Oryzias latipes: one gene and its partners. The protein of the gene in region 2 interacts with the protein of the main gene of each other region in a pairwise test. Links are inferred from orthologs where the notes say so. Each region holds a gene or a part of one and is shown on either strand. Other genes may lie near its edges.

Evidence for each region.
Region 1: the proteins of lrp2 (region 2) and mapk8ip2 interact in a two-hybrid assay, tested with the Homo sapiens proteins (2 studies listed by BioGRID). The link is inferred for Oryzias latipes from reciprocal best matches to the Homo sapiens genes LRP2 and MAPK8IP2.
Region 3: the proteins of lrp2 (region 2) and mapk8ip1 interact in a two-hybrid assay, tested with the Homo sapiens proteins (2 studies listed by BioGRID). The link is inferred for Oryzias latipes from reciprocal best matches to the Homo sapiens genes LRP2 and MAPK8IP1.

What each region holds. Positions count from the first base shown.
Region 1 is NC_019864.2:20,573,405-20,577,060, forward strand, and holds part of mapk8ip2 (C-Jun-amino-terminal kinase-interacting protein 2), read right to left. Parts: intron 2,633-3,656; coding exon 2,527-2,632; intron 1-2,526. UniProt on the Homo sapiens protein: The JNK-interacting protein (JIP) group of scaffold proteins selectively mediates JNK signaling by aggregating specific components of the MAPK cascade to form a functional JNK signaling module.
Region 2 is NC_019879.2:21,650,476-21,654,131, reverse strand, and holds part of lrp2 (low-density lipoprotein receptor-related protein 2), read left to right. Parts: intron 1-13; coding exon 14-242; intron 243-362; coding exon 363-540; intron 541-638; coding exon 639-767; intron 768-1,419; coding exon 1,420-1,586; intron 1,587-1,777; coding exon 1,778-1,921; intron 1,922-2,010; coding exon 2,011-2,120; intron 2,121-2,381; coding exon 2,382-2,559; intron 2,560-2,654; coding exon 2,655-2,868; intron 2,869-2,955; coding exon 2,956-3,195; intron 3,196-3,308; coding exon 3,309-3,497; intron 3,498-3,656. UniProt on the Homo sapiens protein: Multiligand endocytic receptor. Acts together with CUBN to mediate endocytosis of high-density lipoproteins. Mediates receptor-mediated uptake of polybasic drugs such as aprotinin, aminoglycosides and polymyxin B.
Region 3 is NC_019861.2:7,572,467-7,576,122, forward strand, and holds part of mapk8ip1 (C-Jun-amino-terminal kinase-interacting protein 1), read right to left. Parts: intron 2,037-3,656; coding exon 1,779-2,036; intron 1-1,778. UniProt on the Homo sapiens protein: The JNK-interacting protein (JIP) group of scaffold proteins selectively mediates JNK signaling by aggregating specific components of the MAPK cascade to form a functional JNK signaling module. Required for JNK activation in response to excitotoxic stress.

The DNA of each region.
Region 1 (3,656 bases), on a different chromosome or scaffold from region 2:
AAGATTTAATAAAACGTTCCACACAAATGTGCTGTCAAACCTAAAAGAAGGACAGACTGGGCAATTAATAAATGTCATTTACCTAATAAAGAATTACCTGCTTCATCACAGGACATGCACATCATACATATGTGAGCAGAACTGATTAAGCCCAAAACCACACTAAAGCATTATGAATTCCTCAGCCGGGGTTGGAGCATAATCTTTCTATTCGGCAAAGCTCTCCCTGAGCATCAAAGACCCATCTGTGTCTGAATTATCCTGACATGATAACGTCCTCATCGTCCTCATCAGCAGAGTGTTGTGGAAGCAGGAAATGCTTCTTCTGCTGATGATGACGAGCTGACAAAGCGTCACATGCTTTGCAGATGCAGTCAACATCAAAGGCCATGTCAAGAGTCCTGTGCACAAATTTCTCCGACTCGCCTTTCTTCTCCTATTATTTAAACACACACACACTTAAAGGGCAACTAGGTGTGTGTCCTTTCCAGCCAGTGTCAGCAAGATTACTTCCTCTGGGCTATGAAGTAACATAACACGGACAGACATGGTCTATTTGGTGCTTTCATATTTGTGATATGAGCGGTCAAAGCTTTTGCTTGTGCGTGTGTTTTTTAAAGAGGGTTGCAAGAATGTAGGTGTAAATGACACGCATGACATAAGAAAAAACACCAGCTTTCTCTGTCACTCCATCACTGTTGAGGTCTTCCTTCACAGTCCTTCTGCCACTTCTTACATAGAAGGATCAGTTACAGACAGGCTTTGCTAGCTCTCCGTAATGCATTTTCTACATAGATTACAGCAGAGGGCACAAAATATTCTGCCCAGATTTAAACCGAGGGCTTAACTCTTCAGACCCAACCACTGCTGGGGTAAATCCTTATTCTCTGTCAGGTGACAGAGACTGAAGAGGGAGTGTGAACTCCGTCTCTAAGCAACACTCTGAATGGGGAGGGTTTGGCAACACACTGGGGAGGGAGAGATGTCTCTGCATAGCAGCAAACTGTGCTGGGTCACCCACCCTCTGCTGCAGCCATGGCTCCACGCCACCAGCAGAAAACATTTACTCCAATGGTAAAGACAGAGAGGGGGATGTGAAATTAAAATGTAGTAATTCTTTGACAAAAAATATCAGTATGTTCTGAACTCAAATACTTCACAGACTCAGACCATCCTGTGGTCAAAGATGCGTGAACAGAAGCTTGAAAGCAGCAGCTTGTAGTTGAAACCTTTCACTGTTCAGAATAGGTTAATTCATTATGCCTCTTTGTAATAATATTAAACTCACAAAGCTACTTTTTTAGACTTTCCCCTAATGTGTTAAACTTCTAATTCATTTTAGTTACAATTATTAACTCTGTTTATGTTGTTTAACTGATTTCTTAGAGTTTTTAGGTTGGTAAATAAATCTCTATGTATGATCTGTGTAGGGCTCAAAGTGAGTCAAATGTGATGGACTAATGTTCAATAACATCATCAGTACAGCTTATGAAGGAATGTATTAATATTTCAAACTTGGAAAAGACTTCCAACTTGACTGCAAAATGAAAATTTGTTAGCTATTTTTCTTTTAGTGCATCAAAATATAAAACTGCTCTCAATTTTCTGAGCTAAAGCAAACTGTATTTCTGTTTTAGTGCAAATATATTCAGGATGCAACGATTCACCTTTCCCATGATTTGGTTGACACCTCTATTTTTGATTCATGCTTTTGTTTGGGGTCAATAAATGATTTTTGTATCACAAAATATCAACAAAAAAGCAAAATAAATATGAGAAAAATCTATTTTTTAAGTGGCTAATAAGCAAGTAACAATGAAGAAAAAAACTTTCAGTTGGCTCATCCTAAACCTGATGTAGTGTAATAAAACTATAAATCATAAATCTTAAATTTAGCCCAACACACGTGTTTGACACTTTCAACCTTCAACAAGACGCGTGGATGCAACGATGAAGTAACATACGGTTCAGTTTTAAACTGAGGATTGTGGAATTCCCAACATATAAGAGAACATTTTTAGGCATGTGAATCTCTCATTTTAAGTCAGAAAATGTATTGAATATTGTTCTGAGCAGTGGTCTATCTTTATTGATAGTTAAATGAAGTGAAATTGTTACTAAAAATCAGCTATATCTGCTTACATGCTAAGTGCTGTTTTCTCTCGTGTATAAATGAAAGCATGAATGTAATGTAATTCTTCTTTTGACCTAAATTCAAATGTTGTTTTTGATATTAAAGATAGCCATATTATATTATTTATTTTGCTGATTGAATGAAACAAAAAAGTTAATGTGAACGAAGATCTTACAAAACAGTTTATGGAAACTATTTAGATTGTCTCACTGTGTGTAATTAGGCTGCGATAATGTCATTTTTAAAACTGTTGATTCAAGCTCTGCTTTGAAAATGTTTGATATCAAACTGATTTCAAACCAATATGGAGTGTCTCCATATCTGTGACACAAAAACAAGCACAATGTGTCTAAAATATCAACAAATGGGATAAAAAAACAAAACAGATTTACCTTTTCATATGGATCCGAGTCATAGTTGAGTCCAATCCCACAATCATCTGTGATTTCAGAGAGATCTTCATCATCAAACTCCTCCAGGCTGATGTCATGAGCTGGCCTGGAAGAAGGAAATAGTGATTACTGCTTTGAAAGCCAACACTGATGTTTGCAAAATGTCTTTATATTTATTGGTTATTGTCACGGAAAGAAATTCCCATTTGATTTATTCCCACACACTCAGCTCTGTGACGGGGAAACCTGCTCTTACTCACACACTGTCAGGCTCTGTCTGAGTCTCATTTTATTAAACTCAAGCAGCCAAACAATATTTTCTTCCTTCATTCAGAAGTTCTGAAAAATTGTGGTGCATGAAATGAGGTAATATGTAAAGCATGAAAACAACGTGTTCGGTTGACTGGATCTTACACCATACTCTATGTATGTTGAAAAATAAATGACTTGAAAGTTTTCAGCAGCTCTTCACATCAGACAGCCACACACATGTCAGGTTGTGTTGATTAGGATCTATTCCATCTTTGCTTTGATATTCATCAGGATCCCAAGTCTGCAGCAGCTGGCTCTGGAACTGCTGTAGGAAATGCTGCATTGCAGCTTTCCCAAAAGTTCAGAATAGGATGCTCCACATTTAAGGTGTGGATTTTTCCTTGCATCACTAAGTCATACAGGCGTTCCTGTTTAAAGAGCAAATGAAGACATGCTGACTCATGTGGGGGTCAATGAAGGTCACAAACGAGATCATCAATGAGGTGGATGATCTTTCTAATGTGAACTGACAGAGACTGAAAAAAAAGATCTACTTCAGATTATAGTTACCAATGGAATCGATAAAACACATAATGAAGATTTTTGAAGAAAACAAAGAAATTCGAGTTAATATGACACATTATACATTTCTTATGAAAATGCATCTGCAAGGATATAATTTTTGTATGGAATTAATGAATAAAAGACATTTGTATAAGTTTTTTTGTAAACCAATAGAAATTAGGGGTCTAATGATTAATCAAATTAATCGATCGATCGATTTATTTTCCTGCAGTCCAACCTGATTGACATCATCACAATATTATAATTGATTATCTTGCAAGAAATACAAAGAATTTGGAAAACTTCACCTGCAG
Region 2 (3,656 bases):
CTGTATTTTTCAGTGCACATCTGATGTTTTGGACTGACTGGGGAAGGAACCCTCGCATTGAAAAGGCCAGCATGGATGGGAAGCTGAGGACTATCATTGTCAGCAGCAAACTTTACTGGCCCAACGGTCTAACCATAGACTATCCAAATAATTTGCTATACTTTGCTGACGCCTACTTGGATTTCATCGACTACTGCGATTATAATGGCAATAATAGGAAACAAGTTTTGGCTAGCGACTTGGTGAGTGTATCCAAGTTGACATTTTATCCACTTTATTTGGTGATACTGTTAATTATCTTATATTTGAATATTCTGTGTAAGATACACTTTTTTTTCCCTTTTGCTACTCTCTGTGAAAAGGTACTGCAACATCCCCACGCAATTACCATTTTTGAGGATTTTGTCTATTGGACCGACAGATACATCAACCGAGTGATGCGAGCTCATAAGTGGCACGGGGAGAACCAGACAGTGATGCTGTTCAACCTCCCTCAGCCTATGGGTCTAGTAGCAGTCCATCCAACCAGGCAGCCTGCAGGTATGGCAAATTCTGCAGGAATAATTCAGTCCAAAACAAGACATTACTTACCTGCCTCTTTCTAAATGTGTGGACATGTGTAATTGATTACTCTGCAGGTGAAAATCACTGCTTGAATAGTCCGTGTACTCATATTTGCTTGCTATCTGCTGTGGGACCAAGATACTACTCATGTGCTTGCCACTCAGGCTGGATACTGGCAGCAGACCAGTTCACCTGTACCAGAGGTATGCATAAGGAGGAAAACACTCATCTCTTAGGCTGATGAAAAGAAAAACACACATATTTTATAAACCAGTGTACTTATCAGGTATTGATTGTCCTAAAAAAAAGACGTCATATAAACACACAATTCTCGGATTCTTCTTTTAAAAAAATGAGAATTGTCTCTTGTCTGCATATTTGTCTGCCAAATGGTCCCAGGCACTTGTCAACAGCCTCCCATTTAAATTGTCTCATAAACTCGACTTCCCTTCATGAATATTAGGAATCATACAAGCGTGTCTTGCTCCCTTAAGAAGACAAGGGACCTTTAATTCAAAGTCCAAGAAGTCTGCCCTAGGTCAGCAGCTTATCTCATCTCAGGTTTCACTCCAGTCAAAGCAACCAGCGCACAACCCCCCCATCCCCTGAAGCTAACGATACTTCAAGAATGAAAATGTTCCACAAGCATTCAATGACTAATCTCTGACGACGAAGCACATCGTGCTGTGGAACCAACATTAATCAGTCAATACATTTTATAGATACAGACATTTTAATGCGTTTGCACCAAATTTTCTGTACTTGATGCGTACTATGTGGCTCTTGTTTATTATTGGCTTTTATTAGAGTTGATCTGGTTTTTGTCATTTGTTTCATATGTGCGTTTTTGTCCAGTTGAGGATCCGTTTTTGGTGGTTGTAAGGGACAGCATCATCTTAGGCATCCCCCTGAATCCAGAGGAGAAGAACAATGATGTTATGATTCCTGTCGCTGGTCTTCAAAATGGTTATGATGTTGACTTTGATGACAGTGAACAGATCATATACTGGGTGGAACATCCAGTAAGTAAAACTTTCAAGTCTTTTTTTTTAACACGTCATTGTAAGTGAGTAAGTTATTGCAGCAAAGCAAATGACTGCTGTGCTTTATTTTTTACTCTCCCAATTCAGATAAAAATTTGTCTCATGGGATTAGGTTTAATTTTCCACTCATTCACTACTGACTACGGCTTATGTGTGTCATTTGTTACCAGGGTGAGATCCACAGGGTGAAGTCTGATGGTACCAACAGGGAGGAGTTTGCTCCAGCAGCCATTCTTGGTTCACCTGTTGGTCTGGCCTTGGACTGGATTACAGAGAACCTCTATTACACTAATCCAGGTGCACAATCTATTGAGGTGAGTTATATGATCAAGTAAATGCAAAATGTTGAAAACAAATGGAGTCTCACATGACAGTTATGCAGGAAAACAACCTTTTTTTGTAGGTTTTAAAGTTAAGAGGTGAGCTACAGTACAGAAAAACGTTGATCACAAATGACGGCTCTCCAACTGGTGCTGGGAGTCCTGTTGGCATTACGGTGGATCCAGCACGTGGGTAAGACTCTCTTTACATTGACTTGGCACAGACAATGCTTACATTGAGGTGTAAGGGAGTACAGTTGTTAGTCTAAAGTGCAGTCTAAAGTGCCATAAAACCTTAGCACCCTGCAGCTAGGTGATATTTTGAGACAACTGTGTTGTTGTATTGGGCTATACTGTAAAAATAAAATTGAATTGAATGCCTTTTTTTAAAAAATTGAAAATTGATAAATACTTTAAAACTAAAACACTGCATCTTGTCCTGTAACTTCTTAAGCAAACTGTACTGGACAGACCAGGGAACGGAGAGTGGCATCCCTGCCAAGGTGGCATCTGCAGACATGGATGGTCAAAACCCAGCCATCTTGTTTACCGACAACCTGGATCACATAGAGTTCCTCACAGTGGACATCCAAGAAAACAAGCTGTACTGGGCCGTGACAAGTACTGGCAAGGTGCACCACAATGCTTTCAATTTCTAAATTCTTGATAGAATATTAGTGCTTTGTTCTTTAATGTCTGTAATTCTAATGTCTCTGAATTGTCACAGATTGAACGAGGGGATCCAGACGGAAGCAACCGCATCACCATAGTGTCAGGCCTGTCTCACCCCTGGGGGGTAACTGTCTATCAAAACTTCCTGTACTTTACGGACCGTGACTTTGAGGTCATAGAGCGAGTGGACAAGTCCACAGGCGCCAACAAGGTTGTGTTAAGAAACAACATGTCAGGACTAAGGGCTCTGAAAGTTCATTTTCGACAAAGTAAGGAACACACAAATGTATTTCTTTCTCAGGGTTTCAAATGTACGCTTTTGTTTCTTGTGTTTTTCATTTTGAGTTGTCTTTTAGCATCTGCAGGTACATCAAATGGTTGCACAAACAACCTGGGAGCGTGTCAGCAGCTCTGTCTGCCACGACCGCAGAGCCTTTTCACCTGCGCATGTGCAACAGGTTTCAAACTCAATGCAGACAACAGAACCTGTGCACCTTACCAGTCCTACGTTGTTATCTCTACTCTGTCTGCTATCAAGGGCTTCAGTTTGGAGGGGTCAGATCACTCTGAGGCCATGGTCCCTGTGGCCGGAAGAGGTCAGCAGCTTCAACATTTTATATGCGCTTGTTTGCGATGCAATTCTTAATTCTTAGAATTTCCACTGGGAAGAACATAGACAAACTGAGTGTTAACATTTATTGTTTTTCAGGGCGTAATGCTTTGCACATTGATGTGCACATGGCCTCCAGTTTCATTTATTGGTGTGACTTCAGCAGTACTGTGGCAATACAGAATGGGGTCAGAAGGATAAAGCCGGATGGCTCTGGATTACGTAGCATGGTAACGTCTGGAATAGGACGCAATGGGATACGAGGAATTGCTGTGGATTGGGCTGCAGGTAAGCTGCTGCGTTTTTGAAGAGTATGTTGTAATGAAGCTGAAAGTAAAATAATATATAATGAAAGTTGAAAATAACAATTTTTTTAGAAGATTATAGTTCTCATTCGCATTAAAGTTTCAAAAGTGAGAAAACCAAAATATAAATATAAATGTGAGA
Region 3 (3,656 bases), on a different chromosome or scaffold from region 2:
TCTCTATTTTTAATTGTCTAGCAGATGTGACCCTGCAGTGGTGGCAGATCCATTTTATAAAAATCCTGTCACTTAAAATAAAATTGTTTCATGTGTTCTGCAGCCATGTGGCCCTTGTTGCACGTTTGTTTTGTGACTATTTACGGAACTGCAAAGACAATCTCAAGCACCTTGAAACATAACGTAGGTTCATTAATTGTATGATGAGCAAAAGGTATGTGATTTTTGCTAATGGTTCAAGCAAGATTAAAGGTCACAGATCAATTATAGAGTGCAGGAAGGCCCATGAGCTTCATGAGGGGAACCAAGGAGTGGAAGATTGCAGGTTTGGTTCCTGCCTGCTCACCCATATGTCCTTGGGGGTGGAACCCCACATTGCTCCTGGGGGTTTTAGGTTAGCACCAATGTAAGGCAGCAAAGCTGCCATCAGTGTGAATAAACTGTGCCTGTAAAGGGCATTGGCTACTTTATAAGTATCTGCATACCATTTACCATTCAAACAGTATTGATCTTGCTGTTGCTGCATCAGAAGAGACGGTCAAAGCAGGATTACAGGACTGGGTGTGAGTTGGATGAGTCTGCGCTGCATTAGTAAACAATCAGAATTACAGTAGCATCAAATTAAAGAATAGATTGTTGAGGTTGACCAATCGACCAGTATCAGCCCTGCAGCACATTGCTGAAATAAATAAAACAGCAATTCCGTAAATAATTAAAAATATGTTTCATATAAGTAAGCTTTAAAAGTCCTACTCTGATAATCTTTTGATCTATATTAAGAGCATTCCCAGTTGTCTTTTAATTATTGGAATGCCACTTTAAGCCCAAATAAAAAAAACTGTGTGAGCGAGACCACTCACAACCCAGAGGCGAATTATTTCAATTCAATTCAATTTTATTTGTATAGCCCGAATTCACAACAACAGTCGTCTCGATGGGCTTCGTATCAGTAATTACCCATCATCCCTTTATTTACACTCTCTCCCGCTATCTTACAGCCCCCCAAAACCCCAGGCTTACATTAGCAGTGCAACAATAATAGCGAGGAATGTTGAGGCTATCCAGCCGAACAGTTTTGAGCCAGATGCCAGCTCAGAAGAGGAAAACAAAGACGTGAAAAGATCCATTTGTCTTCAACTGAAAGCATCAGAATGGAGCGGAGCACAGAGTATTTTTTATGGCTGCCCCCTGATTCACCACAATTTTAATAAAGAAATACTCATAAACTTTGTTTTATGAGAAAAATGCTTCAAGAACACGCTGAAAACGCCCATAAACACAATTTGTATTGGTATGGGTCCTTAAAAGGAACCTGTCAGTACAAATCCTTTGGCCAAACAAGGGCCAGATCAAAACTGAGGTAAACTCCTGGTGCCTTTTAATTTGCTGCTCATTATGTAGCTTCTAACCTTGATTGTAATTTTTCCTCCTATAGCTTGATCTTCAAAAACACTGTCATAGAAGACGCCTAACACAAGTCACGAGCACTAGCAGCATTTCATGCACAGGCAGGGCCAGTAACCAAAGTGGGGGTGGGGGGTGTTACTGACAATTCATGCTATTGTTCAGTCTGATAAACACATCCTGTCACAGAAGTTATTTGAATAATTTCAGTGTTGATGTAATGGACATTGTTTTTTTCCTGATTAACACCACGATAAAATGTTGACACTTAGACTTTAAGATCAACCTATAAAGACAAACAGAAGCAAGGGTGTTCTTCTCTTTAGATTCAGTGCCAGAAACTGTCTCTGTGGATGAGGTTAGTCAAATCCTACCTGAGTCCGTGGCACAATGGGGAAGAGGTTAAGGGTTGTGGGTCTCTTGGGTCTGTAAGTATCCATGGTAACAGGTGCTGCAGGATCCTTAATGACAGGTGAAAGTGGGAGAGCAGATGCCTTTAAAGGCTCCTTATCAACACAGTAACTGTCAGCTCCGTCGATAAGGTCCAAATGCAGCATCTCTGCTTGAAGCTGGCCAACTGCTCCCAGCTCCGCCCTCCCTGACAGGCTATTGGTCCCCCCCCTCACACGGCCCTGCAGAGATTGGACAAGAAATGCCATCAGTTAAAACTAAAATAGAGAAGGGAGAGATAGAGATACACCATGTTGCACAGATGATGTGGAGACTGAGCTGGCCAATTGGAGGCAACTCTCTCATCAGCATTAACATTCTCACTGCCAACTGCTGAACCAATTCAGTGCATTTCTAAACCTTTTCCTTTCTAAGCAAAAAAATTGAATCATAAAACTAAAATATTAAGATGGTTAGAATCTTTGCAAAAGCTGTTATAATAAATTGTATCCTGATACTTATGCCAATTGCCTAAAAAATTAATTTTATTTATTTTGACATTACATCAGAAGGACAAATTCCTACTATTGGCCATCCACAAGCTACAAAATACATGACAAAAGGCTGGGCTTGTATTGTTTACTGTTAGGTTCTGGCTAGTCTGATGATGGAAAAATGATGACGTTACTTTAATGATCACATTTAACCAAATTAGAAAATGATACCCATTAAATACTCAGAGCTTTCGAATTTTATGTGTCTAATGTTATTAGTTTGAGTTGACGTGTAAACAAATTCCGTTTAACCATTTCAACCAAGAAGAAAATGTGAGGTAGTGGGTCAAAGGGAAACATACCAGTTAATTCTACCCTAATTTGCAATGCAATCCCTGCTGTTGAGCACAAACAACACACACGGTCACCGCTAGTTCATCCTGTTGGCTTTGGCTGCAACATCTGAGGCTCGGATAAGCCTTTAATGGTATTTCCCTCTTCGTGTGGTGTATGTGTTCTGTTGAATCAAAGCCCAGCCCATACAAATGCAAAACAAATATGCTAGACGGAAGAAAAATATAGGAAAATCGGTGGCCAACAGCCAAAAAGAAAAAACTTAAGCATATAATTTTTCAAAAGAATTGGGAACCTGACAGAATGCTGAAAAACACATATCACCGGTGGCTGCAACCTTTAGCAGTAACAGTTACTTGTTGTGTACATACATGTAAATGCAGTTATATACATTAAGAACTTTGTCTCTGAAAAGCAACTAGACACTGCTGTTCAGTAAAAGATACAAATTTGTGTTTTAAGATTATTCTAACCATAATTCAGTCTGACTGTGGATCCAACCTTTTATCATCATTTTGATCATCTTTCTGACATGCAAAAAATCTAAACACAAAACGTTATTAACTATAAAAAACAAATTCATTATTTATTCAAATAAACAACATTTAATGCATTGGCTGCACGGTGGCGCAGTGGTTAACAAGAAGGCCCCCTGTTCAAGTTCTGGCTGGGGGGCCTGAAACAGAATACCAATGGGGGACCTTTCTGTGTGGAGTTTACATGTTCTCCCCATGCAAAAACATGCTTCATAGGTTAATTGGTCACTATAAATTGTCCATAGGGTGTGAATGTGAGAGGAGGGGATAGAAAAGAAAAGTATGTTTTGTTATGTAATGACATCAAAATTTGTTTTAATATTGTCTTGTAATTTTGAACATAACTGATAACACTAGCCCTGAAGGTTTGTGGGACCAACAGCGCAGGGATATAAAATGTGACGAAATCTTTCTTATATGTTCTAATCAAGATAAACGTTAATGAAAATAAACTGAAAAAATAAAAAGATAGTAAGGC